Anolis sagrei: one gene and its partner. The protein of the gene in region 1 purifies or fractionates together with the protein of each later gene. This does not show direct contact. Links are inferred from orthologs where the notes say so. Each region holds a gene or a part of one and is shown on either strand. Other genes may lie near its edges.

Region 1 (15,918 bases):
AATAAATGTAATAATAACAGTAAAATAATGGAAATGTAATAATAATGATAGAGTAAAATAATAAATGTAATAATAACAATAATAGAATAAAATAATAAATGTAATAATAACAGAGTAAAATAATGAAAATGTAATAATAACAACAGTAAAATAATAAATGTAATAATAATAATAGAGTAAAAATAAATGTAATAATAACAGAGTAAATAATGTAAATGTAATAATAATAATAGAGTAAAATAATAAATGTAATAATCATAATAAAATAACAAATGTAATAATAATAAAAGAGTAAAATAATGGAAATGTAATAATTACCATAGTAATTGAATAAAATAATAAATGTAATAATAATAATAATAATAGAGTAAAATAATAAATGTAATAATAATAGAGTAAAAATAAATGTAATAATAACAGAGCAAATAATGTAAATGTAATAATACGAGAGTAAAATAATAAATGTAATAATAACAGAGCAAATAATGTAATAATAACAATAATAGAGTAAAATAATAAATGTAATAATAACAATAACAGAGTAAAATAATAAATGTAATAATAACAGTAATATAATGGAAATGTAATAATAATGATAGAGTAAAATAATAAATGTAATAATAACAGTAAAATAATGGAAATGTAATAATAATAATAGCAGAGTAAAGTAATAAATGTAATAATAACAGTAAAATAATGGAAATGTAATAACAATAATAGAGTAAAATAATAAATGTAATAATAACAATAACAGAGTAAAATAATAAATGTAATAATAACAGTAAAATAATGGAAATGTAATAATAATGATAGAGTAAAATAATAAATGTAATAATAATAATAATAGAATAAAATAATAAATGTAATAATAACAGAGTAAAATAATGGAAATGTAATAATAACAACAGTAAAATAATAAATGTAATAATAATAATAGAGTAAAATAATAAATGTAATAATCATCATAATAAAATAATAAATGTAATAATAATAAAAGAGTAAAATAATGGAAATGTAATAATTACCATAGTAATTGAATAAAATAATAAATGTAATAATAATAACAATAGAGTAAAATAATAAATGTAATAATAACAATAATAGAGTAAAATAAAAATGTAATAATAATAGTGAAAAAATAAATGTATTAACAGTAAATAATGTAGATGTAATAATAATGATAGAGTAAAATAATAAATGTAATAATAACAGAGCAAATAATGTAAATGTAATAATAACAATAATAGAGTAAAATAATAAATGTAATAATAACAATAACAGAGTAAAATAATAAATGTAATAATAACAGTAAAATAATGGAAATGTAATAATAATAGAGTAAAATAATAAATGTAATGATAACAGTAAAATAATGGAAATATAATAATAATAATAGCAGAGTAAAGTAATAAATGTAATAATAACAGTAAAATAATGGAAATGTAATAATAATAATAGAGTAAAATAATAAATGTAATAATCATCATAATAAAATAATAAATGTAATAATAATAAAAGAGTAAAATAATGGAAATGTAATAATTACCGTAGTAATTGAATAAAATAATAAATGTAATAATAATAATAATAGAGTAAAATAATAAATAACCTGGACTCGAGTATAAGTTGAGGGGGGCCTTTTCTCAGCCTAAAAAAGGGGGCTTATATTGGAGTATGTCCAGTATGGATACCTGGCTTGATCTCTCCCGAAGGAGGGGCCTCAAAGCGGCTTGACATAATGGTATCGCCTGTGGTGGACACAGGGATGGAGTGGCCGGCTCTGGAAGGCTACTCCACCCTCTGGCTGGGCCCCATCTTGAGGCAGGAGGCAGGCTCCTCGTGGGGAAGGAGGCCTTTCCCTGCTTCCATCCTTTCCCAGAGGACAACCAGAGGGTGCGAGAGCCTGGCTTCCCAGGCCAAGCTTCAGGCCTGTCTTTTCACCTCAGGCCTGGCCGCCATCTTGGGGCCTACCTGGGCTGGAGAGGCCTTGGCAGCGGGCCCGGCTTGCTCAGGCTCAGGCCTCACAAATGAGTGGAAGCCGTGGGGTCGCCCCCCTCTCTTGGCCTCAGGAGGGGCACGCTCTTGGAAGTCTACATCTCCCAAGGGCCTGGTTTGGGGTGCGAGGCCCTGGGCAAACTTCACTTCAGGCCTGTCTTTTCACCTCAGGCCTGGCCGCCATCTTGGGGCCTACCTGTGCTGGAGAGGCCTTGGCAGCGGGCCCGGCTTGCTCTGGCTCACGGCCTCACAAACGAGTGGAAGCCGTGGGGTGGCCCCCCTCTCTTGGCCTCAGGAGGGGCACGCTCTTGGAAGTCTACATCTCCCAAGGGCCTGGTTTGGGGTGCGAGGCCCTGGGCAAACTTCACTTCAGGCCTGTCTTTTCACCTGAGGCCTGGCCGCCATCTTGGGGCCTACCTGGGCTGGAGAGGCCTTGGCAGCGGGCCCGGCTTGCTCAGGCTCAGGCCTCACAAATGAGTGGAAGCCGTGGGGTCGCCCCCCTCTCTTGGCCTCAGGAGGGGCACGCTCTTGGAAGTCTACATCTCCCAAGGGCCTGGTTTGGGGTGCGAGGCCCTGGGCAAACTTCACTTCAGGCCTGTCTTTTCACCTCAGGCCTGGCCGCCATCTTGGGGCCTACCTGGGCTGGAGAGGCCTTGGCAGCGGGCCCGGCTTGCTCTGGCTCACGGCCTCACAAACGAGTGGAAGCCGTGGGGTCGCCCCCCTCTCTTGGCCTCTGGAGGGGCACGCTCTTGGAAGTCTACATCTCCCAAGGGCCTGGTTTGGGGTGCGAGGCCCTGGGCAAACTTCACTTCAGGCCTGTCTTTTCACCTGAGGCCTGGCCGCCATCTTGGGGCCTACCTGGGCTGGAGAGGCCTTGGCAGCGGGCCCGGCTTGCTCTGGCTCACGGCCTCACAAACGAGTGGAAGCCGTGGGGTCGCCCCCCTCTCTTGGCCTCAGGAGGGGCACGCTCTTGGAAGTCTACATCTCCCAAGGGCCTGGTTTGGGGTGCGAGGCCCTGGGCAAACTTCACTTCAGGCCTGTCTTTTCACCTCAGGCCTGGCCGCCATCTTGGGGCCTACCTGTGCTGGAGAGGCCTTGGCAGCGGGCCCGGCTTGCTCTGGCTCACGGCCTCACAAACGAGTGGAAGCCGTGGGGTGGCCCCCCTCTCTTGGCCTCAGGAGGGGCACGCTCTTGGAAGTCTACATCTCCCAAGGGCCTGGTTTGGGGTGCGAGGCCCTGGGCAAACTTCACTTCAGGCCTGTCTTTTCACCTGAGGCCTGGCCGCCATCTTGGGGCCTACCTGGGCTGGAGAGGCCTTGGCAGCGGGCCCGGCTTGCTCAGGCTCAGGCCTCACAAATGAGTGGAAGCCGTGGGGTCGCCCCCCTCTCTTGGCCTCAGGAGGGGCACGCTCTTGGAAGTCTACATCTCCCAAGGGCCTGGTTTGGGGTGCGAGGCCCTGGGCAAACTTCACTTCAGGCCTGTCTTTTCACCTCAGGCCTGGCCGCCATCTTGGGGCCTACCTGGGCTGGAGAGGCCTTGGCAGCGGGCCCGGCTTGCTCTGGCTCACGGCCTCACAAACGAGTGGAAGCCGTGGGGTCGCCCCCCTCTCTTGGCCTCTGGAGGGGCACGCTCTTGGAAGTCTACATCTCCCAAGGGCCTGGTTTGGGGTGCGAGGCCCTGGGCAAACTTCACTTCAGGCCTGTCTTTTCACCTGAGGCCTGGCCGCCATCTTGGGGCCTACCTGGGCTGGAGAGGCCTTGGCAGCGGGCCCGGCTTGCTCTGGCTCACGGCCTCACAAACGAGTGGAAGCCGTGGGGTCGCCCCCCTCTCTTGGCCTCAGGAGGGGCACGCTCTTGGAAGTCTACATCTCCCAAGGGCCTGGTTTGGGGTGCGAGGCCCTGGGCAAACTTCACTTCAGGCCTGTCTTTTCACCTCAGGCCTGGCCGCCATCTTGGGGCCTACCTGGGCTGGAGAGGCCTTGGCAGCGGGCCCGGCTTGCTCTGGCTCACGGCCTCACAAACGAGTGGAAGCCGTGGGGTGGCCCCCCTCTCTTGGCCTCAGGAGGGGCACGCTCTTGGAAGTCTACATCTCCCAAGGGCCTGGTTTGGGGTGCGAGGCCCTGGGCAAACTTCACTTCAGGCCTGTCTTTTCACCTGAGGCCTGGCCGCCATCTTGGGGCCTACCTGGGCTGGAGAGGCCTTGGCAGCGGGCCCGGCTTGCTCTGGCTCACGGCCTCACAAACGAGTGGAAGCCGTGGGGTCGCCCCCCTCTCTTGGCCTCAGGAGGGGCACGCTCTTGGAAGTCTACATCTCCCAAGGGCCTGGTTTGGGGTGCGAGGCCCTGGGCAAACTTCACTTCAGGCCTGTCTTTTCACCTCAGGCCTGGCCGCCATCTTGGGGCCTACCTGGGCTGGAGAGGCCTTGGCAGCGGGCCCGGCTTGCTCTGGCTCACGGCCTCACAAACGAGTGGAAGCCGTGGGGTCGCCCCCCTCTCTTGGCCTCAGGAGGGGCACGCTCTTGGAAGTCTACATCTCCCAAGGGCCTGGTTTGGGGTGCGAGGCCCTGGACAAACTTCACTTCAGGCCTGTCTTTTCACCTGAGGCCTGGCCGCCATCTTGGGGCCTACCTGGGCTGGAGAGGCCTTGGCAGCGGGCCCGGCTTGCTCTGGCTCACGGCCTCACAAACGAGTGGAAGCCGTGGGGTGGCCCCCCTCTCTTGGCCTCAGGAGGGGCACGCTCTTGGAAGTCTACATCTCCCAAGGGCCTGGTTTGGGGTGCGAGGCCCTGGGCAAACTTCACTTCAGGCCTGTCTTTTCACCTCAGGCCAGGCCGCCATCTTGGGGCCTACCTGGGCTGGAGAGGCCTTGGCAGCGGGCCCGGCTTGCTCTGGCTCACGGCCTCACAAACGAGTGGAAGCCGTGGGGTCGCCCCCCTCTCTTGGCCTCAGGAGGGGCACGCTCTTGGAAGTCTACATCTCCCAAGGGCCTGGTTTGGGGTGCGAGGCCCTGGGCAAACTTCACTTCAGGCCTGTCTTTTCACCTCAGGCCTGGCCGCCATCTTGGGGCCTACCTGGGCTGGAGAGGCCTTGGCAGCGGGCCCGGCTTGCTCTGGCTCACGGCCTCACAAACGAGTGGAAGCCGTGGGGTGGCCCCCCTCTCTTGGCCTCAGGAGGGGCACGCTCTTGGAAGTCTACATCTCCCAAGGGCCTGGTTTGGGGTGCGAGGCCCTGGGCAAACTTCACTTCAGGCCTGTCTTTTCACCTCAGGCCTGGCCGCCATCTTGGGGCCTACCTGGGCTGGAGAGGCCTTGGCAGCGGGCCCGGCTTGCTCTGGCTCACGGCCTCACAAACGAGTGGAAGCCGTGGGGTGGCCCCCCTCTCTTGGCCTCAGGAGGGGCACGCTCTTGGAAGTCTACATCTCCCAAGGGCCTGGTTTGGGGTGCGAGGCCCTGGGCAAACTTCACTTCAGGCCTGTCTTTTCACCTGAGGCCTGGCCGCCATCTTGGGGCCTACCTGGGCTGGAGAGGCCTTGGCAGCGGGCCCGGCTTGCTCTGGCTCACGGCCTCACAAACGAGTGGAAGCCGTGGGGTCGCCCCCCTCTCTTGGCCTCAGGAGGGGCACGCTCTTGGAAGTCTACATCTCCCAAGGGCCTGGTTTGGGGTGCGAGGCCCTGGGCAAACTTCACTTCAGGCCTGTCTTTTCACCTCAGGCCTGGCCGCCATCTTGGGGCCTACCTGGGCTGGAGAGGCCTTGGCAGCGGGCCCGGCTTGCTCTGGCTCACGGCCTCACAAACGAGTGGAAGCCGTGGGGTGGCCCCCCTCTCTTGGCCTCAGGAGGGGCACGCTCTTGGAAGTCTACATCTCCCAAGGGCCTGGTTTGGGGTGCGAGGCCCTGGGCAAACTTCACTTCAGGCCTGTCTTTTCACCTCAGGCCAGGCCGCCATCTTGGGGCCTACCTGGGCTGGAGAGGCCTTGGCAGCGGGCCCGGCTTGCTCTGGCTCACGGCCTAGGCCCTCGAATAGCACACTCTCTCAGCCATAAGGTAAGAAGAGACCCACATTCCGCTTCTGTCCATGATGGGGAATGTCTTCCCGGGCGGTGGTTTGGTCCTAGGCTAGGCCTCACATCCATTGGGGGGGGGGGAGGGGGGAGGAATGGTCCACCCAAAACAACAACTGGGACAGTTTGTGCTTGCTTCAGAAGTTTATACTTTAATTTCTCCTAAACTGCCAAGTCATTTTTGAATAATAATAATTTATTTATAATAAGGGTCTGGAGAACAAGCCCTATGAGGAGCGGCTTAAGGAGCTGGGCATGTTTAGCCTGAAGAAGAGAAGGCGGAGAGGAGATATGATGATAGCCATGCATAGGAAAGGAGATGTTGACAAGCTGGAATGTGTCAAGAGAAAGAGGGCAACTCAAAGGATCAAGGGTCTGGAGAACAAGCCCTATGAGGAGCGGCTTAAGGAGCTGGGCATGTTTAGCCTGAAGAAGAGAAGGCTGAGAGGAGACATGATGAGGGCCATGGATAAATATGTGAGAGGAAGCCACAGGGAGGAGGAGGGAGCAAGCTTGTTTACTGCTTCCTTGGAGACTAGGACTAACACAATGAAGTTCAACAGGGGGAAATGCAAGATACTCCACTTTCGCAGGAAAAACGAAATGCAAGAGACAGAATGGGGGACGATGAGGCCTGGCTCGAGAGGAGGACATGTGGAAAAGATCTTGGGGTCCTCATGGGGAGGAAGGGGAACATGAGCCAGGAATGTGACGTGGCGGCAAAAAAGGCCAATGGGATGTTGGCCTGCATCAAGAGGAGCCTAGTGTCTAGATCTAGGGAAAGTAATGCTCCACATGCTCTATTCCGTTTTGGTTAGACCACTTTACCTGGAATATTGTGCCCAATTCTGGGCACCACAACTGAAGAGAGATATTGACCCTAAGCTGGAATGTGTCCGGAGGAGGGCAACTCAAAGGATCAAGGGTCTGGAGAACAAGCCCTATGAGGAGCGGCTTAAGGAGCTGGGCATGTTTAGCCTGAAGAAGAGAAGGCTGAGAGGAGACATGATGAGGGCCATGGATAAATATGTGAGAGGAAGCCACAGGGAGGAGGAGGGAGCAAGCTTGTTTTCTGCTTCCCTGGAGACTAGGACGTGGAACACTAGTCTCAGACTACAAGAGAGGAGATTCCATGTGAACATGATTGTGAGAGCCGTGGAACTCTCTGCCCCGGAGTGTGGTGGAGGCTCCTTCTTTAGAGGCTTTTCAACAGAGGTTGGATGGCCATCTGTCAGGGGTGCTTTGAAAGCAATTTTTCTGTTTCTTGGCAGAATGGGGTTGGACTGGATGATGGCCCAGGAGGTCTCTTCCAACTCTTGGATTCTATGTCCCACTTCCTCTTTTTCCCCAAAAAGACTCAAGAGCATCTCAAGGTCATTCATAAGCTATGGCTGGATTGACACCTGAGTTTTGCAAGCATGGCCTGGATCAGCCCAGAAGGCGCATCCACACAGCACGAAATGAAGAATGAATCGGCATTAAGAACCAGGGAGCAAAAGAGCCGTTGTGGAGTGGTGTCCTCCTCCAACTGTTGACCCTTCCCTTTGCTATCCAACATGCATATTTGTCTGGAGTGGCACTTGTGAGCGAATGCCCCTGTTCCGACTTCCGACAGAAGCGACTGCCTTGTTCGTAACTCAAGGGCGGCCTGTGCTGCGCTTCCTGGCAGTGCGGATGGGGACGGAGTTGTTTGCATCCTTCGAAGAAGGTTTCCTCTCTTTATAGAAAAAACTCCCCAGCATTTCCTCTTGCTGTTTTGGCAGGCAGGCCTTCCTCTGAAGTTGGGAGTCGATTTCCTGCCTCCGATGCATCATCCGGACGGAGTCCAGCCCATCTGGGCAGAGGCCGCTCAAGAGCAGACGCAGGCAGCCACGGCAGAAGTGTGAAGCTTCTTTGCGCCTGGCCTTGCCCCTCGTTGCCCGCTCTCCGGGTCTCCCCAAAACAGACCAAGGCTGGAGTGGAGAAGGGCCGCAGTGAGCCTCCAGTCCACCCCGCGCCCAGCCCCGAAAGGCCACTGTCCGGCGGAGAGCGTTGCCCTCGGACTTCTGCCCCTGGACACGGGCTAAAGCAAGCCACGCAGACGGCATGGAGACCGGTCCAGTGGTCTTCCTGCTGGCCACCAGCATGGCCATCCTCACCTGGGCAAGTAAGTGTCACCTTGGGCAGACCAAGCTTAGCGGGAATGGAAGCCGGAGTGACCCATCTCTTGTGGAAGGCTTTCGTGGCCAGAATCACTGGGTTGCTGAGAGGTTTCCAGATTGTGTGGCCACTATGTTCCAGATGCATTCTCTCCTGGCGTTTTCACCTGCATCTGTGGCTCATGGCATCCTCAGAGGGTCTGTTAGACGTGAAGCGAGTGGGGTGTATATGACTTGTGGGATAATATCCAGGGTGGGAGAAAGACCCTTGTCTGCATGAAGCAAGGGTGAATGTTGCAATTAGCAAGCTTGGTTAGCATTGAGTAGCCATGAAGTTTTTCAAAGTCAATCAGGGAGGGTGTCTGTATAGAGCAGCCGTGAAGTTTTTCAAAGTCAATCAGGGAGAGTATCTGTATAGAGCAGCCATGAAGTTTTTCAAAGTCAATCAGGGAGGGTGTCTGTATAGAGAAGCCATTAAGTTTTTCAAAGTCAATCAGGGAGAGTATCTGTATAGAGCAGCCGTGAAGTTTTTCAAAGTCAACCAGGGAGGGTATCTATATAGAGCAGCCATGAAGTTTTTCAAAGTCAATCAGGGAGGGTGTCTGTATAGAGCAGTCATAAGCTCTCAAGTCTTTTGGACTTTAACTCCCACAATTCCTAACAAACCTGGAGGGTCCAAGTTTGCCCATGCCTGGTATAGAGGTAGCCTGGCTGCTGTTGCTTGGAGGCATCCTCAGAAGTTTGTATGTGTGTGCTTGTATATGTGTGTGTGTATTATATATGTATATGTGTGTGTGTGTGTGTGTATAAGAACTTGTTGCGTCGTGAGCTTCCGCTGTCAGCCCCAGCTCCTGCCAACCTAGCAGTTAGAAAACATGTAAATGTGAGTAGATCAATAGGTATACTCTGGCGGGTATTTATTTATTTATTTATTTCGGGTATTTCTACCCTTTTCCTTCTCAGGACGGCTTACATTTGGCAGCAATTCGATGCCACTACATATAACAAAGCAATATAATAACAATTAAAACAACAAATAAAACATTCATTATAAACAATAAAAACAGTATGCAGTCATGGAGCACCAACCTCCAGAGTCGGACACGACTGGACTTAATGCCAGGGCGAAACCTTTACATTTGCCTTTGAGGACCCTTCTACGCTGCCATATAAAACCCAAATTCTCTGATTTGAACTGGATTATATGGCAGTTCAGACACATATAATCCAGTCCAAATCAGATAATCTGCATTCATATACTGGATTATATGGTCAGTGTAGATTGCACTCGAGGCCATATAAAATCCATATAAAATGCCATATAAAATCCAGATGATCTACTTTGATCTATTTATCATAGCTGCTTAACCTATCTGTTGTATGTGTGAATTTGGATGTATATATATATATGTGTGTGTGTGTGTGTGTGTGTGTGTGTGTATGGAGGCTTCTACATTGCCATATAAATTCCAGATGATCTGCTTTGGCCTGGATCCTATGGCAGCATAGAAGGGGCCGGAGCCTCCTTTGTCATTCCGGAGGAGAAAAGCCTATCTTGACTTTGCTTGGAAGCTTCTTCCCAGAAAGAGGCCAAATTCTCTTGTGAATCTGGAGCCGGGAGGAATTCCAAATATTTCCCTCCCACGAAGAGGAAATGCTGGACTACCTTAATGGGGGGTTGTTAAGGCCCCATCCACGTAGACCAGATAACTTTGCATTATTAATTTTGTGATAACAATATCAATAATAATAATAATAATAATTGTGTGCCTACCCATGGTTTCCGTTCTTTTATCGTAGGCTTTTTGTTGTCCACAACAAGTGGCACCAAGCTGCCTTAATTCTACAGTGCAGATGGGGGCTCAAGCCCCATCTACATTGCCATATAATGCAGATTCAACTACATTGAACTGCATTGCGTGGCAGTGTAGACTCGGGGTGGATCTACATTGCCTGACATCCCAAGATCTGATCTCGAATCAGGTAGACCACATAATCCAGTTCAAATCAGATAATCTGGAATCAGATCCTAGATGATATAGCAGCGTAGTTCCAGCCTGAACTGCATTATGGAATAACAACAACAACAACAAACAACACTATACTTGTATTCCACTCTATCTCCCTAAGGGAGATTTATTGGGTAAATATAATAATAATAACAATAACAATAATATAATAGGTTGCTGTGAGTTTTCTGGGCTGTCTGGCCACGTTCCAGAAGCATTATCTCCTGATGTTTCGCCTACATCTATGCTAGCCATCCTCAGAGTTTGGGAGGTCTGTTGGAAACTAGGAAAATTCGGTTTATATATCCGTGGAAAGTCCAGGGTGGAAGAAAGAACTCTTGTCTGCTTGAGGCACATGTGAATGTTGCAATTTGCCACCTTTATTACCATTTAATGGCCTTGTACTTTCAAGGCCTGGCTTGTTGCTGTCTGGGGAGATCCTTTGTTGGGCCAGCTAACACCTCCCAAGTGATTCCAGCCCTGAAAGCCTTTGACAACACAGTAATGTAATACATTTATTACCTGCCTCTCCTTGCAGCTCAGGGATGAGATGCATTGGGTAATAATAATAATAATGTGTTACTGGGTGACACCTGTTTGGCCCCACAACCGTTGTTGTGTGGAGTCCCACAGGGTTCAATTCTGTCCCCGATGTTATTTAACATCTACATGAAGCTGCTGGGGGAGATAATTCGGAGTTTCGGAATGAGATGTTATCTCTACGCAGATGATGTCCAGATCTGTCACTCCTTCTCACCTGTCACCAAGGAGGCTGCCCAGACCTTGAATGGGTGTCTAGCTGCTGTGTCGGACTGGATGAGAGCTAACAAATTGAAATTGAATCCAGACAAGACAGAGGTCCTACTGGTCAGTCGTAAGACCGAACAGGGCATAGGGTTACAGCCTGTGGTGGACGGGGTTCCACTCCCCCTGAAGACGCAGGTTCGCAGCTTGGGAGTGATCCTGAACTCATCGCCGAGCCTGGAACCCCAGGTCTCGGCGGTGGCCGGGAGAGCTTTTGCACAATTAAAACTTGTGCGCCAGCTGCGCCCGTTCCTTGGGAAGTCGGATCTGGCCACGGTGGTCCACGCTCTTGTTACATCCCAGTTGGATTACTGCAACGCACTCTACGTGGGGTTGCCTTTGAAGACTGCTCGGAAACTCCAACTAGTCTAGCGAGAGGCAGCCAGATTGCTCATCGGAGAGTCATACAGGGAGCATACCACCCCCCTGTTGTGTCAGCTCCACTGGCTGCCGATCCAATTCTGAGCACAATTCAAAGTGCTGGTTTTGACCTACAAAACCCTATACGGTTCCAGCCCAGTGTTTCTGTCTGAACGAATCTCCCTCTACGTCCCACCTCGGAGTTTAAGATCTTCTGGGGAGGCCCTGCTCTCAACCCCGCCTCTATCCCAATAATAATATATTTATTACCTACCTCTCCTTGCATCTCGAGGCTGGGATTTATTAGGTAAATATAATAATAATAATAATAATAATAATAATAATAATAATAATAATAATAATAGTATTTTTACAATGAGTGTAGGTTCATATAATGCAGTTTAACTGCATTGAAATGGATTACATGATTATCATATAATCTAGCACGGAATAAGTGAAACATGTGCAAAAGTTACTCTTCTCAACCTTTTTTTACTTAAGAGTTTACTGTTAAAAAATCCTTTCCAAAGTTACTGTTCCAAGGTATGGAGGAAAGGATAGGTCAGGTTTACTACTCTCCTGTTTTCCATCCACATTACATAAAGCAACATACCATGCCATTAGCAACTTCAATAAGAGCCCCGAAAAAGGCATCTGCTGGTTTTCTCTTTTCCTTCCTGGCCCTTTTTGCTTGTTGCTTGTTTTGTTTTATTTGTGCAATGGGTTGTTTGTACTCTTCGGGCTGAGAAAGGTGGTATATAAATATGGTAAATAAATAAATATGGTTATATATACATATGTGTGTGTGTGTAATGTTCATTTGTGGGATTAACATAACTCAAAAACCACTGGACGAATTGACACCAAATTTGGACACGAGACACCTATCAGGCCAACGAGTGACCATCTCTCATAAAAACACTGGAAAACACAGCGGAATGGACTTAAAAAGCAAATAAACCCCAAAAATTACATTACAACGCATGCACAAAACCATATATATATATATTCCCAAACACACATATATACATATATACACAAATATATATACACACACATATAAACACACAAAACACATATACACAGACTGGGCCACAGCAACGTGTGGCAGGGGACGGCTAGTCTATATAAATAAAAAGGTAATGTTCGTTTGTGGGATGAACATAACTCAAAAACCACTGGACGAATTGACACCAAATTTGGACACAAGACAACAATCAGGCCAACGAGTGACCATCACTCATAAAAGCATTGGGAAGCACAGCGGAAGGGACTTAAAAAGCAAATAAACCCCCAAAAATACATTACAACGCATGCACAAAGCCATATATATATACCCAAACACACATATATACATATATACACAAATATATATATACACAGACATATAAACACACAAAACACATATACACAGACTGGGCCACAGCAACGTGTGGCAGGGGACAGCCTGTGTGTGTATGTTCTGGGTTGTTGTAGTTTTTTTCGGGCTATATGGCCATGTTCTAGAGGCATTCTTTCCTGACGTTTCGCCTGCATCTATGGCAAGCATCCTCATAGATGCAGGCGAAACGTCAGGAGAGAATGCCTCTAGAACAGTGCTTCTCAACCTGGGATCCCCAGATGTTTTTGGCCTTCAATTCCCAGAAATCACAGCCAGTTTACCAGCTGTTAGGATTTCTGGGAGTTGAAGGCCAAAAACATCTGGGGACCCAAGGTTGCGAAGCATTGCTCTAGAACATGGCCATATTGCCCGAAAAAACCTACAACAACCCAGTGATTCCGGCCATGAAAGCCTTCGACAATATATGTATATGTTCGTTTGTGGAATTAACATAACTCAAAAACCACTGAATGAATGGACACCAAATTTGGCCCCAGACACCTTTCAGGCCGACAAGTGACCATCACTCATAAAAACACTGAAAAACACAGCAAAGGGGACTTAAAAAGCCAAAAAAACCCCAAAAATTACATTACAACACATGCGCAATAACACATATATATATACACAAACACACATATACACAAATATATACACACAAAACACATATACACAGACTGGGCCACAGCAATGCATGGCAGGGGGCGGCTAGTGTGTGTGTGTGTATGTAGATATATATTCGTGCATAACCAAAATTAACAGGGAATATAGCAAACACATATGCAACAATGAAGGGCTGATGGGATTTTTTGTCACTCACTTAGTATTAGATTTTAAAAGCCAAAGATCCCTCTAAGGCAGTAGTTCCCAAACTGTAGGCCACAACACACTAGTGGGCCATGGGGCCTAAAATAAGGTCCACGGCTCTAGATTATTAAAAATGTTTTTCCTGAGCAGGCATGGGCAAACTTCATCCCTCCAGGTATTTTGGACTACAACTCCCACCATTCCTAACAGCCTACCGGCTGTTAGGAATGGTGGGAGTTGTAGCCCAAAACACCTGGTGGGATGAAGTTTGCCATGGGGTCTTCTTCCTTTTCTGGCGGTTTCCAAGCATATGGTCATCTGTCAGGAGGGCTTTGATTGTGTATTCCTGCTTGGGAGAAAGAAAGAAGGGTTGGACTGCATGGCCTTTGGGGTCTCTTCTCAATTTCTGTGACGTTTACAGAGCGATAGGCCTTTACAAGTTTATAATCTCCCCGAGACGCAGGCGACTGGTGCCTTTCGCCTTGGCAATGGTCTCCGAAGTGGTTTTGTCGCCATCGCCGCCAGTCTGATTTAATCTCGAGAAAGAAAGAGACACAGAGGAGAGTCTCGGAAACAACATAAACAGATAACGCTTGTCTGCCGGCCGGTCCTGAGGCTTCGCTTGGCGGCCTTTTCTTCCCCGTGACGCAGGCTGCGCGGCCCAGATAAGGCCCGGAGGAAACGCCGGACAATGGGTGGGCCGAGGACACGGCGTCACCCGAGTGGCCTGAGCGCTGACCTCGAGCGAATGAAGGGCCCGACACATCCCGCCTTGACCCGTGTCCCCGTCCTCAATGTGTCCTCCTCGGTGTCCCATAAGCACACTCTTTGTGGAAGACCCCTCTGGCCATTTCCCGCTCCAGGCAGATTCAGAACTTTTGAGAAAATATGCCATAACCTTTTGGATTATCATAGTCCTTTGAAAAGCATAACCTTTTGGGAAACGACTATATGATGCGAATCTAATTCAAACCCTATTTTGGCAGGGTCCTTTAGCCACAGAAGGTGAGCATTACATTCAAGGAAACAGGGCATCGTATGGCTCTTTCGTGGTTTTTGGATCTTTGCACTACAAATAAGATATGTGCCGTGTGCATGCATCTTATTTGTAATGCAAACAAAACCCCAAAATATGAAAGAATTATTGATTTATTTATCTACGACATTTCTATGCCACCCTTCTCACCCCGAAGGGGATTCAGAGCGGCTTACGAGATATATATACATACAATATATTATATTATTAGCATTGTACAATGTTAGTATTATATATTACTATATTGTACTATACCTTTATATAATAATAATAATAATAATAATAATAATAATAATAATACTTGATACCACCATCTCCCCAAGGGACTCGGAGCAGCTTACATGGGGCCAAGCCCAACAACACATCAATAAAAACAACAAGCAATAAGCAAAATAAACAATACAATAAATATAACTCACACATAGACAAAACACACAATGATTTAAAAACCTATGGCCGGGCCAGACGTAGTAGTTAAAACTTTAAAAATAAATGCTGGATATGAACAGATCTGTAATATTATTAGTAATACTACATGTAATATAAAATATATAATTATAATATCATTTCATTATTAGTAGTATGTTGTATTACATTATAATATTATAAATATATGTATATGCAATATATTACATTACATTACATTACATTGTATTTGTTGTTCATTCGTTCAGTCATTTCCGACTCTTGGTACCCTCATGGACCAATCCATGCCAGAGCTCCCTGTCGGCCGTCACCACCCCCAGCTCCTTCAAGGTCAATCTAGTCATTTCAATGATGCCATCCATCCATCTTGCCCTTGGTCGGCCCCTCTTCCTTTTGCCTTCCACTTTCCGCAGCATCATTCCCTTCTCTGTTTTCCTTTCTTCTCATGATGTGACCAAAGGACTTCCTCTTGGCCTCTACTCTCCTTCCCTCCAGTGAGCAGTCGGGCTTTATTTCCTGGAGGATGGACTGGTTGGATCTTCTCGCAGTCCAAGGCACTCTCAGCACTTTCCTCCAACACCACAGTTCAAAAGCATCTCTCTTCCTTCGCTCAGCCTTCCCTATTATGGTCCAGCTCTCACATCCGTAGGTGACTACAGGGAATACCATGGCTTTGACTATGCAGATCTTCATTGCCAGTGTGATATCTCTACTCTTCACTATTTTATCAAGATTGGTCATTGCTCTCCTCCCAAGAAGGAAGCATCTCCTGATTTCCTGGCTGCACTCTGCGTCTGCAGTCATCTTTGCACTTAGAAATACAAACCCTGTCACGGCCTCCACGTTTTCTCCCTCTATTTCCCAGTTGTCAATCATTCTTGTTGCCATAATCTTGGTTTTTTGACATT
Region 2 (15,719 bases), on another chromosome or scaffold:
TTAACTGTTTTTAATTTGCTTGGGTATTGTATTGTTGTATTGTGTTTTGGGGCTTCGGCCTGTGTAAGCTGCATCGAATCCCTTGGGTAGATGCTAGCGGGGTACAAATAAAGTTATAATAATATAATAATAATAATAATGTGGGATTTTATTCAGCTGTGTGGAATGGTCCTTATTTAATGTAGTTTAAATACACTGGACTGCATTGTATAAGTCTACTACACTGACCATATAATGCAATTTCGAATAGTGCTATATGGTAATGTAGATCAGACCTGTAAAATGTTGTAAAGTATGGGAAACCTGCCAGTAGTGAAGCAACAGAAAGTGTCAACTCCGTTTGTCTGATTTTGGAGAGCCAAGGTTCATATTGTACTTGAGTTAATAAAGAAAAAGCCTTGGGTGACCACATGATCTGAGTCTGAGGAAAAACTATGCATGTCACGAGTTCATGCTGAAAAAACACATTTCTGCTGTCAAACAAAGCCACGATGAAAGATGGATTCAAAAATAGACCAGAGCTGGTTGACTCCACAAGAGGTGAGTGGGCAGCTGAGATTTCCAAGGAGGAAGAAAGATGGCTCATGAGATTAGAGGAAGGTATTCCAAGTCAAGACACATTTCCTGCAACGAGATTTCCTTTTCCTGCCTCCACAGCGCAGATCTGCTGTTATCAGATCAAACTTCTTTATTTCCAATTCAAGGGATGCAGACTCAACAAAGTTCTTGTATTTCCCGTCCAAGAGCCTGAAATCACCATTGCTCAAGATAAGCAACAACCCTTACATCTTAAGTGGCATTCAGATGAACTCGGATTATACGAATAACCCATGCATTTGGAAAATGGGGGAAATGGATCAGCAACCTAATCTGAGAAGACTTTGCAAAGAGTCTGGCTCCATAATTTTTCACAACAGGAAATGTCAGAAGGGTATTTTCTTCCTTCTCCCTGCCGTGTCATTGAACACTCAAGGAAACAACCACTGGCCATTTTCTCACAATGAATTAGCATGTGGGAAAACATAGAGACCTTTAATTTTGGTCTTAGTAGAGCTATGTTTTGTGGTTCGGCCTCTGGAAATATCAGAATGCTTGTAAGTTTACTTTCTCCATAACATAACCATCACAAAGTCTGCTTTCCTGGATGGATATAATCCCCCACTGGGGTTAAACCACTGAGCTGCTGAGCTTGTTGACCAAAAGGTCACAGGTTCAAATCAGAGGAGGGGCGTGAACTTCCGCTGTCAGCCCCAGTTTCTGCCAACCTAGCAATTTGAAAACACAAATGTGAGTAGATCAATAGGTACTGCTTCGGTGGGAAGGTAACAGCGCTCCATGAAGTCATGCCGGCCACATGACCTTGGAGGTGTCTATGGACAATGCCAGCTCTTTGGCTTAGAAATTAAGATGAGCACCAACCCCCAGAATCGGACATGACTGGACTTAATGTCAGGGGACAACCTTTACCTTTACCTTAACGCTGATATCATCCAACAATTCAGAGGAAAATGAGGATACTGTATGGCCAAGCAACATTTGAGATGACAAGGCTTATTAATGAGGGAGAAAACATCATCTAGCAGAGGCAAGGTTTCCCATGCACACCCTTTTCTCTGTTCCACACTGAGTTTAATGAGTGCAGACATTTGCACTTTGAGTTCAGCTTGCAGCAACTGAAGTAAACTAAAAGTGAGGACAAAGGGATACAGGGCGGGGGAGAGAGAGAGAGAGAGAGAGAGAAACTGGGACATTTTACCATCATCCATGCATGTAGCCGGGGGGGGGGGGGGCTTGAGGGGCTTCATCCCCCCCCCCCCCGAAATTCTCATGGTGGTTCGCGAAAAGGCCTTACTGGTGCATTATTTAAACTGTTATGTTTATTCATATCATGATCTGATCACCATACTCAATATAACCCCCCCAAAACTCAGCCCCCCCCGAAACCCCCCTGAAAAAAATTCACACACACCCCCAAACGAAATCCTGGCTACGGGCCTGCCATCATCAATAAATAGTACAAAACATGGTATTTATGTAATGTCAGGCAGTGTCTAAATTCAATACAAATGACATTCATGAGATATATTGTGTTGATACTAGGCTTGTGCATTTTGGCTGAACCTCAATCTTTTTCTGCTGGCCGGATTCCAGTAGACCCGTATGCATTTTTGCAAGCCTCCTAAAAATGGGCAGGTACCACAGCTGAAAAATGCGGCTAGATCTGGCCCATTGGTGGCAATGGGGAACTTACAAGGCTCTGCTTTTCATTCCTGGGACCATTTCCTTTTTTCCCCTTCAAGGGAGCCTGGATTTCAGCAACAGGGTGATCCTGGCACTCCAACCTTCGCCTCTGTATTTGACACTGAATGAGCAAAGGAAAACATGAGTGCCTAGAAGGTTTAGTTGCAAGCTCACATAGTTTGTGAAGCTGTTCAACATTCTTAGAAATAATAGAGTATGTATGAGAAGGCTTTAGTCATAGCTTCCAGTTTCCGGCTTTGTAGAGCTGGAGCTGACGTCTGAAAGCAGCTTATACTTTGATAATTGAATATAAAAATACCTGTTCAGAATCAGACCTATTTATAGTAGGCGTAATAATCAATGTTTTCTCTTCCCAGCACCCTGCACATCATTAGTGTTGTCATTGTAACAATTTACATCTCACCTTGCATAATGGATTAAAAACTATACAAAAATGTCAATAAAAGTATATATATACATTTAATTTAGAAGACAATTAAGCAATGTATTAAACATTAACATTCATTAAAAGACTATATGTCAACCTTAACACCAGCATTGCACAATGTTAAAAGCTCAACAAGTCAGTTTCTAAAAACATAATCACATAAAAATGTTTCAACTTCCTTACAGAAGTGGAGCAAGAATGGAGCTCTCCTGGCCTTCCTAGGAAAGGGGTTGCAAAGTCTGAGAGCAGCCACTAAGAAAACTGTTTCTCTTGTCCCCGCTAAATGAACCTGAGAAGGTAGTATAATAGAAAGAAGGGCCTCTCCTAAAGATTTTAGAGCTCCAATGGGCTCATATGGGGATATATAGTCCTTCAAACAGCCTGAATCCAGGTTGCAGAGGCACTGAATGTCTACCATCGATCATACCTTAAGATTTGCTGTGCTGTCGCACGCTGGGCCTGTACATAAGACTGTAGACAGGGCATAAATTCTGTGTGCCCAACGGGACGCCGGGGCTGCCTCAGATTAAAGGCCTTTGGATTTCCTTAAACAGAGTCTTTAGGTTGCTTAAAGGTTCAACAAAGTTCTTTATTATTGAAAACAAACAGGTACTTTAAGGCTTTCTTAATAGTCTATTGGCTCTCTCGATCTTGTCCACAGGGAACAGGCACTATCTTCATAAACTGTATTTCAACTAATGGGGAAATCCTTAACCTCTAATCTAGGCAGTCTGTCTTCGCCTCTGTTGGTGTGGAGCCCCTACACCCGGTACCAACTGCTTCTGGCTTCCACAAGTGACCCTTACCAAGCAGAGCTTTGTAGACTTCCAGGGGGAAAGGAGTTCAGGTTTCTGTGATGGCTGGCTGAAGTCCTTCAGCAAAGGAGCTGTAGGGCTGTATAACCCTGGCCAAGCTGTGAGCTGTATATCTCCCCGGCCAAGCCGTAGAAGACGAAGCTTTCTACAGGAGCTCTTGGTATTGTGTCCTGCATGAAAGGCTTCTCTGTGTAGACTGAACTCAAAATGGCTCCTATTCCCTCTAAAACCCAAAAAGGGGGCGGAACCAGGGAACCTAACTATAATTGACAGGTGGCTTGCCCTATGATTGCAGCCAAAAGAAGCCACCTATCTGCAGAGTTCCTGAAACTTGGGACTATAACAAACATTAAATGCGAAGCAAACAAAATTGGAGCTCTTGGTGCAGTTGTACCTGCACATTTGCTACTTTCATTGCTACTTTCATTGCCTATATGTCTATAGGACATATTGTATAAGCTAGTTATTTGGGTTCCAGTCCTATATGTCCTATAGTATTTAAGTGCTTCAAGATAACATCCAAATCTTGCATTGTATAAGCTAGTTATTTGGGTTCCAGTCCTATATGTCCTAAAGACATATAGCACTGGAATCCAAATAACTAGCTTATACAATGCAAGATTTGGATGTTACCTTGAAGCACTTAAATACTATTTTTATAGCACAGGTTTGGTGTGCAATGGTCTGCTTCAACAGATGTAACTCATCTACAAAAATCATAACAGAGGCCCATCTACACCAACACTAAAATTCTGCTTGAAGTCAGCTCAAGTTTAGTGTGCTCAGAAAACAATCTCCAGAGCAGTGTTATCTTTTTTAAAAAAACTCACCAGAAATCCTGGATCAAGCTAGAAAATCTGCTGAATTCCTTCTGTGTATAAACAATGCAAAAGAAGAAGCCAGACGGCAAATGCAGGGATTCTCATGTAAACAGGAGTAAGAAAGCATTCACAATAAAAAAGCAGCTGTAAAGCCCAGCTGGAAAATAAATCTCTCTCCCACCCACCCCGCTAAGGAAAGCCCAGCGTTCCCATAGGAATGCCTGATTTTACTGCCCTGCCTTGCTGAGTTGTGAGGCAAGTGCTTCTGAGAAGTTGTTTGTCTCTTAGGGGAGGTAAAAAACATATTCCTGGATTTCAATTGAGCCAATCAATCTGGAGCAGAATGTGATGAAGAAATCCTGTGGATTTGTGTGGACTCACTTGCATATACCAGCCAGTTCCTGTGGTGCCTATGTCGGCACTCTGGAGTGAACTGGATTTCTATCATTCTCATTCTGCTCCTGATTAATTGCCTATGTAGAAGTACCCTATGTTAGTTCTCAAAATAGTTTTTGCAAACTGTTATTAGGGTATCTGTCTTGTTCAGAATGGATATGATAAAAATTAGTTTGAGGAAGGAACACATTTTGAGACACTGCATATTGGCAGAGGTTTCTAGTGAAGGCCAATGGGTCCCATGTCAATGGGGCAGTGAATTTGCTTCACATTTTAATCCAGATTTTGAAGGACCTATCCAAAGTAAACCCTAGTTCATACCCTTAGGCATCTTGGATTGCTGTTTTAAAGTTCAGACTCAGCCCCAGGACAGATTTACCACCACCACTGATATGGAAGCCACCAGTTCTCCCTGGATTTTGATATTAATGATGCTGAAGAAAGAGGACTTGCATGTAATAAGCAAAAATATGCCCCCTCTCTATGCTGAAAAAAGAAGAACACATCAAATGTAACCTAGGTTTTTCTTTTCTTTTTCTCCCCTTGAATGAAGAGAAAGTTGCAAGGGATTATATTATATCTTGCATTTCTATCACATGGTTGTCAAAAGCATAGGAACCCCACTAGTGGGACTCTCACACTAAAAGGGGCATTATGAAGTGTCAGTATATGGAAAACGCATAGGGGAACAGGAAGGTCCAGCCAGGAGGTGTGAATTAGGAATTCCTACCTACTGAATCACAGCTTTAGGGTAGTGCTTAACAGGTTACAGAATATTGTTGTGAATGCATTACTTATAGGGGTGACATGGGCATAATGTGTTTGTTTTTTTTTGTGAGGTACCATTGCAACCTTACTCCTATTTTTATCTCATTAGAGTTTTTTTTAACATTTTATCCTGTACATGTGGCCTGCCCACTGTTACTGCAATTGTGTTTATTGTAATGTTATTTTGTTACTGTATGCATATGTGTTTTTTTAATGTAATTTTGATGATTTTGCTTGTTGTTTTTGGTTTTATTTTGCTGTAACATGTTGTCTGGGCTTGGCCCCATGTAAGCTGCTCCGAATCCCCATTGGGGAGATGGTGGCGGGGTATAAACAAAGTTGATTATTATTATTATTATTACTATTACTATTATTATTATTATTATATCAGAGATATTTTGAGTTTGAGATTTTGAAATGCCTGTATATGCATATATGTACATAATGAGATGGGACAAAAATCTAAAGATGAAACTAATTTATGTTTCAGAGGCACCTTATACATATAGCCTGGAGGTAACTTCATATAATATTTTGAATAATTTTGTGGATGACACCAAGTTTGGGCACACTGAAGCATCACAAAGCCAAAGCATCCTTATCTCAGACAGGCACATGGACAATTTTAGATTTCAGAATTCAAGATAAGGTATGCTCAACTTGTACTTGTTTGGAGGAATTATATTGAAGAATTAGGACATTTTTCTATTTTTAAGTGTGTTGTTATGAAATGATGATGTTGGTGGTGGTGATGCAATATGTTAATGACAGGCTGCTAATGCACAATTCTTCCAGTAATGAGTAATATATTGACTTTTAAAAATATGACTAATGTGTTACTTTTTAAAAGCTAGATAGAATTTATTCTATTATCTTTTTACATTATGCCTTGCCTCTCTTTCATTGGTGTGGGCAGGTGCAAAATGACCTTAATTGTATCATGCTGTAGGGAGTCCTTGAGATAGGTTTTAACCCACATTCAGTTTTAGACCCATAGTCTCCAGAAATTTCTACGTTTCTCCCAATCTCTAGGAGAAGATAGATTTCAGGGTCAGCAGCACTGGTAGAAGATAATGTTTATATTTCTGTGTAACGTGGTGTTACAGCTTAGGAACTCATCTCTAATGGGTCCTACCTGACTCCAGAGCTCACTGGCTTGATGTTGCTTATTTGTTCAGTCGTTTCCAACTCTTTGTGACCTCATGGACCAGCCCATGCTAGAACTTCCTGTCGGACATGGCCACCCCCAGCTCCTTCAAAGTCAAGCCAGTCACTCCAAGGATGCCATCCGTCCATCTTGCCCTTGGTCGCCCCCTCTTCCTTTTTCCTTTCATTATCCCCAGCATCGTTGTCTTCTCTAAGCTTTCCTATCTTCTCATTACTTCACCTTTGCCTCTACTTTTTTGTATGTGCGTGGTGTGGTGATTTTAGCATTGGATTATAACTCTGGAAAACAGAATCCAATTCCTGCCCAGCCATGAAACCTTCTGTGTGACCTTGGGCAAATCATACACTCTCAGCCCTGGAAAACCCAGTGACGTATGGCCTTAGGGTCACTATAAATTAGAAACAGCTTGCTGACACACAACAACACAACTGTACTTATGCAATGTCAGTACACTGAAACATTCCCGGTCTACTTGGCATTTCCTCAAGAACTTGTTTTGTCTTTACTTATTTGCCTTCATATTTTAAAATATTTTGTGCACATCTCCAGCTTTGAATATCTGTAATCCCACTGGTACCTCCCACCATGTTTTTCAGCAGCTCTGTTTTGGTCCCAGTCCTGTTGGTACTCACCATCTGTGTTCAACATTGGAGAAGATGCTGCTGCTGCTGACAGCTTAAGTGTATTCTGGTCTTCAACAGAACGGCCAGTCTCACTTAAGCACAGGAACCAAACAAGGGCTGAGCTCAAAATGTTGCAAGACAGCACAAAATAACTGTTACTTTGCAAGCTTCACAAACTTTACTGGGTCAAGAAGCCCACTGATAGCAGCTTACCTAAAGGTAAACCTTAGAAAAGTTACTTTGAGGACCACCCAAAAATATTTTCTCAAAGGGAAGCAGAAAACCTAGCAGGGTTTTGACAGGTCACTGTTCTTCTAGTTATCAGACAGGATAACGTTTTACTGTTTTGGACAGATAAAGTAGTGATTAGTTTGGTTAACTAACACATAGCTTTGGATTAGTCCATTCAGATTTGAAAATGAAGGCGGCAGCAGGGAAGGATGGGAGGAAGGAAACCCAGAAAGGTGAGGCAATAGGGAGACCATAGAGAACAATTGCACAGGGCCCTGCTGTGCTTGGGAGGAAGAGTGTGTTGTGTGTGCGCATATAGATCTACGCTCCGCAATAGGAAATGCTTTATTAGCTGGGAGTGGTGGAGAAAAGCCAGGCAGGAAGAGGCAGTAATAAGAAACATTTTTAACTTCTCCCACATCCAGAGCTTGCCAAACCGCTGCTTTCAGCAAGAGGGAAAGAGCAGGGGGGCTGGAAAGAGGATCCTGTCTCCCCCCACAACCCAGCCTTACACACTCCCAGCTGCCTTCAACTCTGTGGCTTCCTTGAAACGGACTTCACTGGAGCTCAGCTTCAGCCCCAATCTGGGGGCACTGTTCTTACTGAAGTGAAAATCCAGGAGGACTGGAACCGTTGGAAAGGAAACCCATGAATCCATCTCAGGCCATGCATCTAAGACCCATGAAGAGATGCCCAGTGTGACTTCAGTCAACAACTTTCCCAGAAAATAAAAACCCATCTCGGACTCTGGTACCAAAGAAAATGCTTTCATCTGAGGAATTCTCAGCCAAGGCCTGCTGAAAGGAGATAGACGGCAGGATACGGTTTAAAGCCCAAGTTTGCTCCGTTCTGTCTACAAAGACTCCCGGGTAAGTTAGAATTAATGTGTGTCTCTCTTGATTCGTTCCATATTTATTTGAAGACATTCAAGAGAACATCTCTCGGGCAAAAGCGGGGGATAAATGTGACATTTTTAATATCAAAATTTTAGGCCTCAGGCTTTTTATAGCATGGAGAAACTATTTAAATCCTGTATGTCCATTACTCCTGGGCAAAATAATTACAATAGCAATGATGAAAGAGAAAGGAAGTACATTAGAGTCTTGATTATCCAACCTTTGCTCATCCAAAGTTCTACATTATCCAACACAGCCTGCCTCCCTCCCGGATCCACAGACATTGCGATGTTTTGCTGCTAAATTCGTAAATACAGTAATTACTACGTAACATTACCATATATAGAACTGCTTTTTCTGTCGAACTGTTGTAAAACATGATGTTTTGGTGTTTAATTTGTAAAATCATAACATAATTTGGTGTGTAATAGGCTTTTCTTTAATCCCTCCTTATTATCTAACGTTTTCACTTAACCAAAATTCTGCCGGCCCATTTATGTTGAATAAGCAAGATTCTATTGTAGCAAAGAATAATGCAGTTATTAATTTTGTTTTTATGCTATGCATTTTCAGCACTGCAAGAACTATTCCATGATATCATCAGGGATTTGCATTACACAATACACAATGTTACATATAATGTCTTCTTTCACAAATCTGTTGTGGACATGGCCCACTAGGGCCCCTTCCACATGGCTGACAAAAATCCCACATTATCTGCTTTGAACTGGAATATTATTTATTTACAGTATTTATATACCGCTTTTCTCACCCCCGGGGGGAATCAAAGCGGTTTACACAAAAATAACGCAAAATTCAATGCCTTATATATATAAACCAAAACTCAATCAACAACATATAACTAGCATAAAATCAATATATGGCAGTATGGACTCAGAAAACCCAGTTCAAAGAATATATTGTGGGATTTTATGATTGTAAGCCGTCCTGAGTCCCCCTTCGATGGTTGAGAAAAATAATGCAGCCTTATTTCTCTGGGTTATATGGCTGTGTGGAAGGGCCCTAAGTTAGCATGTGGCCCTGCAAGGCTCTTTCTGTGACCCTTGGCTTCAGACAGCAGTTTTTCTCACAAAATTAAAAGGGGTGTTGATGTGTGTCTTCTAACGCCTTCATAGATTTTGGTAACATTGCATTTTAAAATATACATTTTTAAAATACTAGTTTTTCAAAATAAGTGATAGACTTCTCACTACACCTGGTTTGGGTTTTATTCTTTGCATGTATGGCCCACAGACACACTCAAGAGCAGAAAAATGACCTTCAGTCTGCCTAAGTTTCCCTCCTCTGACCTAAAGAAAAGTCCTGCCCCTCAATATCCAGCAGGTCTGTGCAAGAGCTAGCAGGCTTCTGCTAGATTTTAAGGGAGCACTTATCAAGAGATAAAGGCCAGAATCTTCTTGGTGACATACACTGCTATAACATTATTATTATTATTATTATTATTATTATTATTATTATTATTATTATTATTTCTAAATCGCCCTCTCTCCCCAGAGGGACTCAGGGAGGTTTACATATATATATATAAAGGCAAACATTAAATGCCATAATTAAATCACACAATATCAAAAGATGAAAAATAAACATTATCAGACTTATTGCAACAAGAGAATTCAGATTAAAACAAGAGATACAAATACTGAGGGAAACATAATTATATCAATAAAACATAATTGCACTAAGCATATACCCTAAACAGTTAAAACGACCAAACTGAAAAATGTGGCAAGCATCAGTTGTACTTTAAAGTAGACTGTAGCAGCCATAAAGTGCTGGTTGTGATAGTCCTTCTCCTCTCTGTAGAGAGGAAGGTGGAGGCCATTTTTATTTCTTTAGGGAGGGAGTTCCAGGGATGGGGAGCGATCACAGAAAAGGCCCCCTCTCTTGTTTCCACCAACAGCGCTTATGACGGGATGGGACCGAGAGCAGGGCCTCCTCCACTGACCGAAGTGTATGAAGGGTCTATATTTGGGAGATGCAGTTAGACAAATAGCCTGGAGCCAAACTGTTTAGGGCATTATAGGTAACAACCAGCTCTTTGTATTTATCTCAGAAGCAGACCAGCAGCCAATGGAGATGCCATAACATGGGACTGATTCTCTCCCTGTACAGAGCCCCAGTTAGTAACCTGGATGCTGATCTCTGGACTAGTTGAAGCTTCTGAACTATCTTCAAAGACAGCCCCACATAGAGAGCATTGCAGTAGTCCAGGCAGTATATAACTAAGGCATGGACTACCATGATCAACCTGGATTTATGCCAATGTATATTATTTTGGGGAGTCAATGTAGTATAGTGGTTTGAGCATTGGACTATGACTCTGGAGATCAGGCTTTGAGTCCAGACTTGACAACTGGAAATCCATTGGATGGCCTTGGGCAAGTCACACACTCTCAACTTCAGAGGAAGACAATGGCAAACCTGAGATAAAATCAGGTTTGGAGTCTTTTCATGCAAGCCCAAGTAAGATCATTCAGAATAATAGATGGGAGGAGCAGATCCTTTTCAGTCGTGGTCCCCTGATTGCAGAGGTCTCGAATGAAATGTGTGTGGTTTTTCCCCTTGAAATCTTTGAAAAGGCTTTGAGATTCCATCTGTTTCTGTTGCCTTGTAACTACTTAAAATATTAATGTATTTTTATATCTTATGTTATATTTTATGGTTTAAACAACCCAGTACAGGCTATTCCTTAAATTGAAGATCTACACAACATAACCTGTAAAAAAAATAGTATAACATGGCAAAATAAATAATATTTCAAGAGTGGAAAAGCAAGACAAATGGCATGTGAAATTTTAAAAATGGGTGTACTACTCACCTAAAAATGCAAAATTGGTGTTATAAGGCAGGAGAAATGCAGGATTGCACCAGAAATCAACCTCAATCATCCAGCCTTTAGGAGAAAGGGAGATAAATTTCACTGCTTAATAATTTTATTTAAAATGTTTTTTGCACTGGTGTTGGCCATTGATTTTAAAACTATTATAATATATTGAGATCAAAGTAATTGGTTGTTTAAAATTAATAAAATGATATTTTGTTTGTGTGCAGGTAGGTGCCTTCAAAGTATCTATTGACTTATGGCAACCCCATGCATTTCATAGGCTTTTCTTAAGCAAGGCATATGCAGAAGTGCATAGTTTGTCAGGTCCTACCAGTGAAATATAGTCTACAGCGCCTGGTTGTCTCCCCACCAACTACTCACCAGGTTTGATTCTGCTTGGTTTCCAAAATCAAACAGGGTCTAGAGCCTTAGGATATTAAGTAAACAGCTGGGCATAAATAAGAAAGGGGTGAGCGGCTGCAGACCAACCTAGGGATCTGGGGAAAAGACACACATGAAAACATTAACTCTTCCTCAGGTCTCACTTACACACCTTCTAAATTGCCAGATAATCCAGGAAATCACAGCAGAAAATCCACATTATCTGATTTGAACTGGGTTATCTTAGTCTACACTGCCATATCATCTAGTTCAAAGCAGATAATATGGCATGTGTACAGCTGTGTATACATTCCCCATTAAGCCCTTTCTACATAGCTGTATAAAATCCACATTGAATTGGATTATATGGCAGTGTGGACTCAGCTTCACTAGCACAGGGCTTCATTTGTCCTAAACCTGGCACTGGTGGCCTCCCACACAAGTACTAACCAGGGCTGACCCTACTTAGCCCCCATTGTCACAAAAATGATGTGTCACAGGTAGCATCATTGCTTGCAACAAATTACATTTCCTGAAATACTGTTGCTTCTAGAGCAGGCATGGGCAAACTTTAGCCCTCCAGGTGTTTTGGACCTCAGCCCCTACAATTCCTAACAGCCAGTAAGCTTGCTGGTATTTCTGTAAGTTGAAGTCCAAAACACCTGGAGAGTTGAAGTTTGCCCATGCTTGTTCTAGAGTGCTATGCCAGGCTCTAGTGATTTCATTGTCTTTTTTACATGATCCAGATTGCTTAACTGTTCTACAATGCAACCTTTCCTCAACTAGGGAGCGTAAAATGTGAAGTGAGGTATTCACTCATTTTTGTGAGATGTTGACAAAGGGCCCTTCCTCACAGTCATATAACCCAAAATATCAAGACAGATAATCCACAATATCTGATTTGAACTGGTTTATATGAGTCCACACTGCCACATAATCCAGTTCAGTGTGGATTTTATACAGCTGTGTGGAAGGGACCAAAGCCTGTTGAAATCACAAAGGCGTGAGATCTCGAAGCCCTCTTCAGCTGCGCACTCAGCACCCAATTAGGCATGTTGCTGCTACCAGATTTAAATATCACACTGGTCACAGAATGAAAGATTGCCACTGTGGGAAATTCTCTAGTGACATAACTTGAAACAAGACTGAAAACTGTTCTTGAAGTTACATACATTGGAAAATTAAAATAAAAAGGAACCAAGTTATGAGTATTATTTTGGCATTAAAAAGCAGAACCAGCCTCTCCCTTTGAGGTTTGGAGACTTTTAGCCACAGAATTATACTTGGCACTTACAGAGGACTTGTTTAAGGTCTCAGGGGTGTTTCTGAAAGGCAATCTTTGCAATGAGTTAGACCTATAACGGAGCCAATTTAAGAATGAGTTGGGGAAGGCTGCTAGATGAGAGAGTAACTTGCCTTTGTTCCTGATGAGATCTGAGCCAAGGACTCGCCTCATGCTCTTTAAGTGCTAGGGAGGATAAGAGCATCAAAGGAATCAGTGGAATGTAGAACACGGCTGGGGAAAAGGTGGCACTTCCCCTGTTGTTGGACTGCAAAATTTCCATCATCCTTGGCCATATCATTCTGCCAATGAACACTGGAGTTCAACAGCATTTGGAAAGCCACAGGCTGTCCACCCCGATGCAGAATGAGTGGCAAGGAGGAGTAGACATTGAAACCAAGATAAGCCAAAACAAAATCACAAGGTAGAAGGAAGACTCTAGCTCAATGGCAAAGAACATTCTTTGCATCCAGAAGGTCCCAGATTAGGTCCCTGGCACCTCTTGTTAGCACACAATGCAAATAGAGAGAACTCTTGTTCCTGTTAGGACCCTAGATCCTGACTGGGCCAGAGTGAAGAGAGAGGGGGCCAGGGGACCGTTCCACCTTGTCTCCTGTGCTATGCTAATAATATAATGTAATGTAATATATTGTATATACATATATTTATAATATTATAATATAATATACTATAATACATTACAATAATAATAATAATAATAATAATAATAATAATAATAATGTAATACAATATAATAGGGAGCCCCCAGTGGCGCAGTGGGTTAAAGCGCTGAGCTGCTGAGCTTGTTGACCAAAAGGTCGTAGGTTCGAATCCAGGGAGCAGCGTGATCTTCCTCTGTCAGCCCCAGCTTCTGCCAACCTAACAGTTTGAAAACATGCATATTTGAGTAGATCAATAGGTACTGCTTCAGTGGGAAGGTAACATCGCTCCATGCAGTCATGCCGGCCACATGACCTGGAGGTGTCTACAGACAACGCCAGATCTTCGGCTTAGAAATGGAGTTGAGCACCACACCCCAGAATCGGACACGACTGGACGTCATGTCAGAGGAAAACCTTTACCTTTACCTACAATATAATAGTAATATGATAATATAATTATATATTTTATATTACATGTAATATTGCAATATGATGGTACAGTACAATATAGTAATATAATACTGATATTGTACAATGCTAATAATATAATATATCATAATTATATATATATTGTAAACCGCTCTGAATCCCCTTCGGGGTGAAAAGGGTGGCATAAATAAATAAAAGAATACTACCCATCTAAATGAACAACATTGGGTTCAGTAGACAACTGTTCTGTGGGCTAATTGATAAACCAGCCACCTTAATGAACAGATGTAAACATTCATACAAGTAAACTGGCCTGTACGAAATGTGGTTTGAGCAGCTCTGTACAAGATTATGTCTACAGTGAAACCACTGTGTAATAGCTTTACCCATATGGCCAGCCCACAATCCTAAACCCTCATTTCCCACGCTGTTTTTTCTGGCAGCATTGTGTATGTAGGACACCCTGAAAATTGCAGTGTCAACCAAAAGCTGCAAGAAGATTCTACTGAGCAGTGGAATCCTTCACTCAAAGGCAAGTTCTAGCTTCATGCGTTGGTTCCCCTTCCTGCTCAGCTCAGTGTCACTTAAGGGTAAGAGAGAGAGGGAGGCCCCATCGACACTTCCATATACAGTCAGTCCCCAAGTTACAAATATCCAACTTACAACTGTCTCATAGTTAACAACAGGGGCGGGACAACAGGAAGTGACATAAATCTACCCCTCGGAAGGGAAATTCACTCTTGATATTTATTATTTATTTATTTAGAGTATTAGTATCCTGTCCTTCTCAACCCCTGAAGAGGAACTCAGGACAGCTTACAATTGGCACTCATTAGATGGTGACAAAGAAACAGAACACAACGATTAACATGAACAGGTCAACAGCAATAAAAATACATTTAAAAAGCAATAAAATGCATTAAACATATTGGCCCTTAAACTATTAAAACAACCAAGTCTGAGTCTGCAAATCCAAATCATAGTCCAGACTTCCAGTCCAAGGTCTCTTAATTGACAATTCTCATGGAGAAAAAGTGTCTCTACTGAAGCTTTATCACCAATCCTTGTTTCACAACAAGCCAATTTTTTCAAAATCCAGTGATCACTGGGACCAAAAGGGAGGTGAGACCTTTCTGAGTAAGGGCACAAACAGCAAAAGAAACAGCACAGGGGTGTTAACCCTTCCCTATGATATCCAAACTGTGTGTACATATACATATATACACACACATTTAAACTGGAGTTTCACTTCAAAATGTACCTGTTCAGACTTACATACAAATTCAACTTAAGAACAAATCTACAGAACCTTTCTTGGGTTGATGTAAGTTTTTCGTGCTGTATGGCCATGTTCCAGAAGCATTCTCTCCTGACGTTTCACCTACATCTTTGGCAGGCATCCTCATAGGTAGTGAGCACCTCACAACCTCTGAGGATGCCTGCCATAGATGCAGGTGAAAGGTCAGGAGAGAATGCTTCTGGAACATGGCCATACAACCCTGAAAACCTACAACAACCCAGTGATTCCGGCCATGAAAGCCTTCGACAACACATAGATCCTATCTTGTTTGTAACTTGGGGGCTGCCTGTAATGTAGTTTGAAACAATGTAGATTCATATAATGCAGTTTAACTACTCTGAACTGCATTATATAAGTATACTGATCATTATATGAGTCTATAACTGCATTATATGGATATTGTGGACTTGTTT

The links.
Region 2: the proteins of ENG (region 1) and ACVRL1 purify together in Homo sapiens (affinity purification with western blotting; 3 studies listed by BioGRID and IntAct, with this or other methods). This does not show direct contact. The link is inferred for Anolis sagrei from reciprocal best matches to the Homo sapiens genes ENG and ACVRL1.

Annotation. Positions count from the first base shown.
Region 1 is NC_090031.1:2,304,531-2,320,448, reverse strand, and holds the start of ENG (endoglin), read left to right. Parts: upstream 1-7,832; 5' UTR 7,833-8,134; coding exon 8,135-8,195; intron 8,196-15,918. UniProt on the Homo sapiens protein: Vascular endothelium glycoprotein that plays an important role in the regulation of angiogenesis. Required for normal structure and integrity of adult vasculature. Regulates the migration of vascular endothelial cells.
Region 2 is NC_090022.1:139,381,860-139,397,578, reverse strand, and holds the start of ACVRL1 (serine/threonine-protein kinase receptor R3), read left to right. Parts: upstream 1-7,862; 5' UTR 7,863-8,380; intron 8,381-15,719. UniProt on the Homo sapiens protein: Type I receptor for TGF-beta family ligands BMP9/GDF2 and BMP10 and important regulator of normal blood vessel development. On ligand binding, forms a receptor complex consisting of two type II and two type I transmembrane serine/threonine kinases.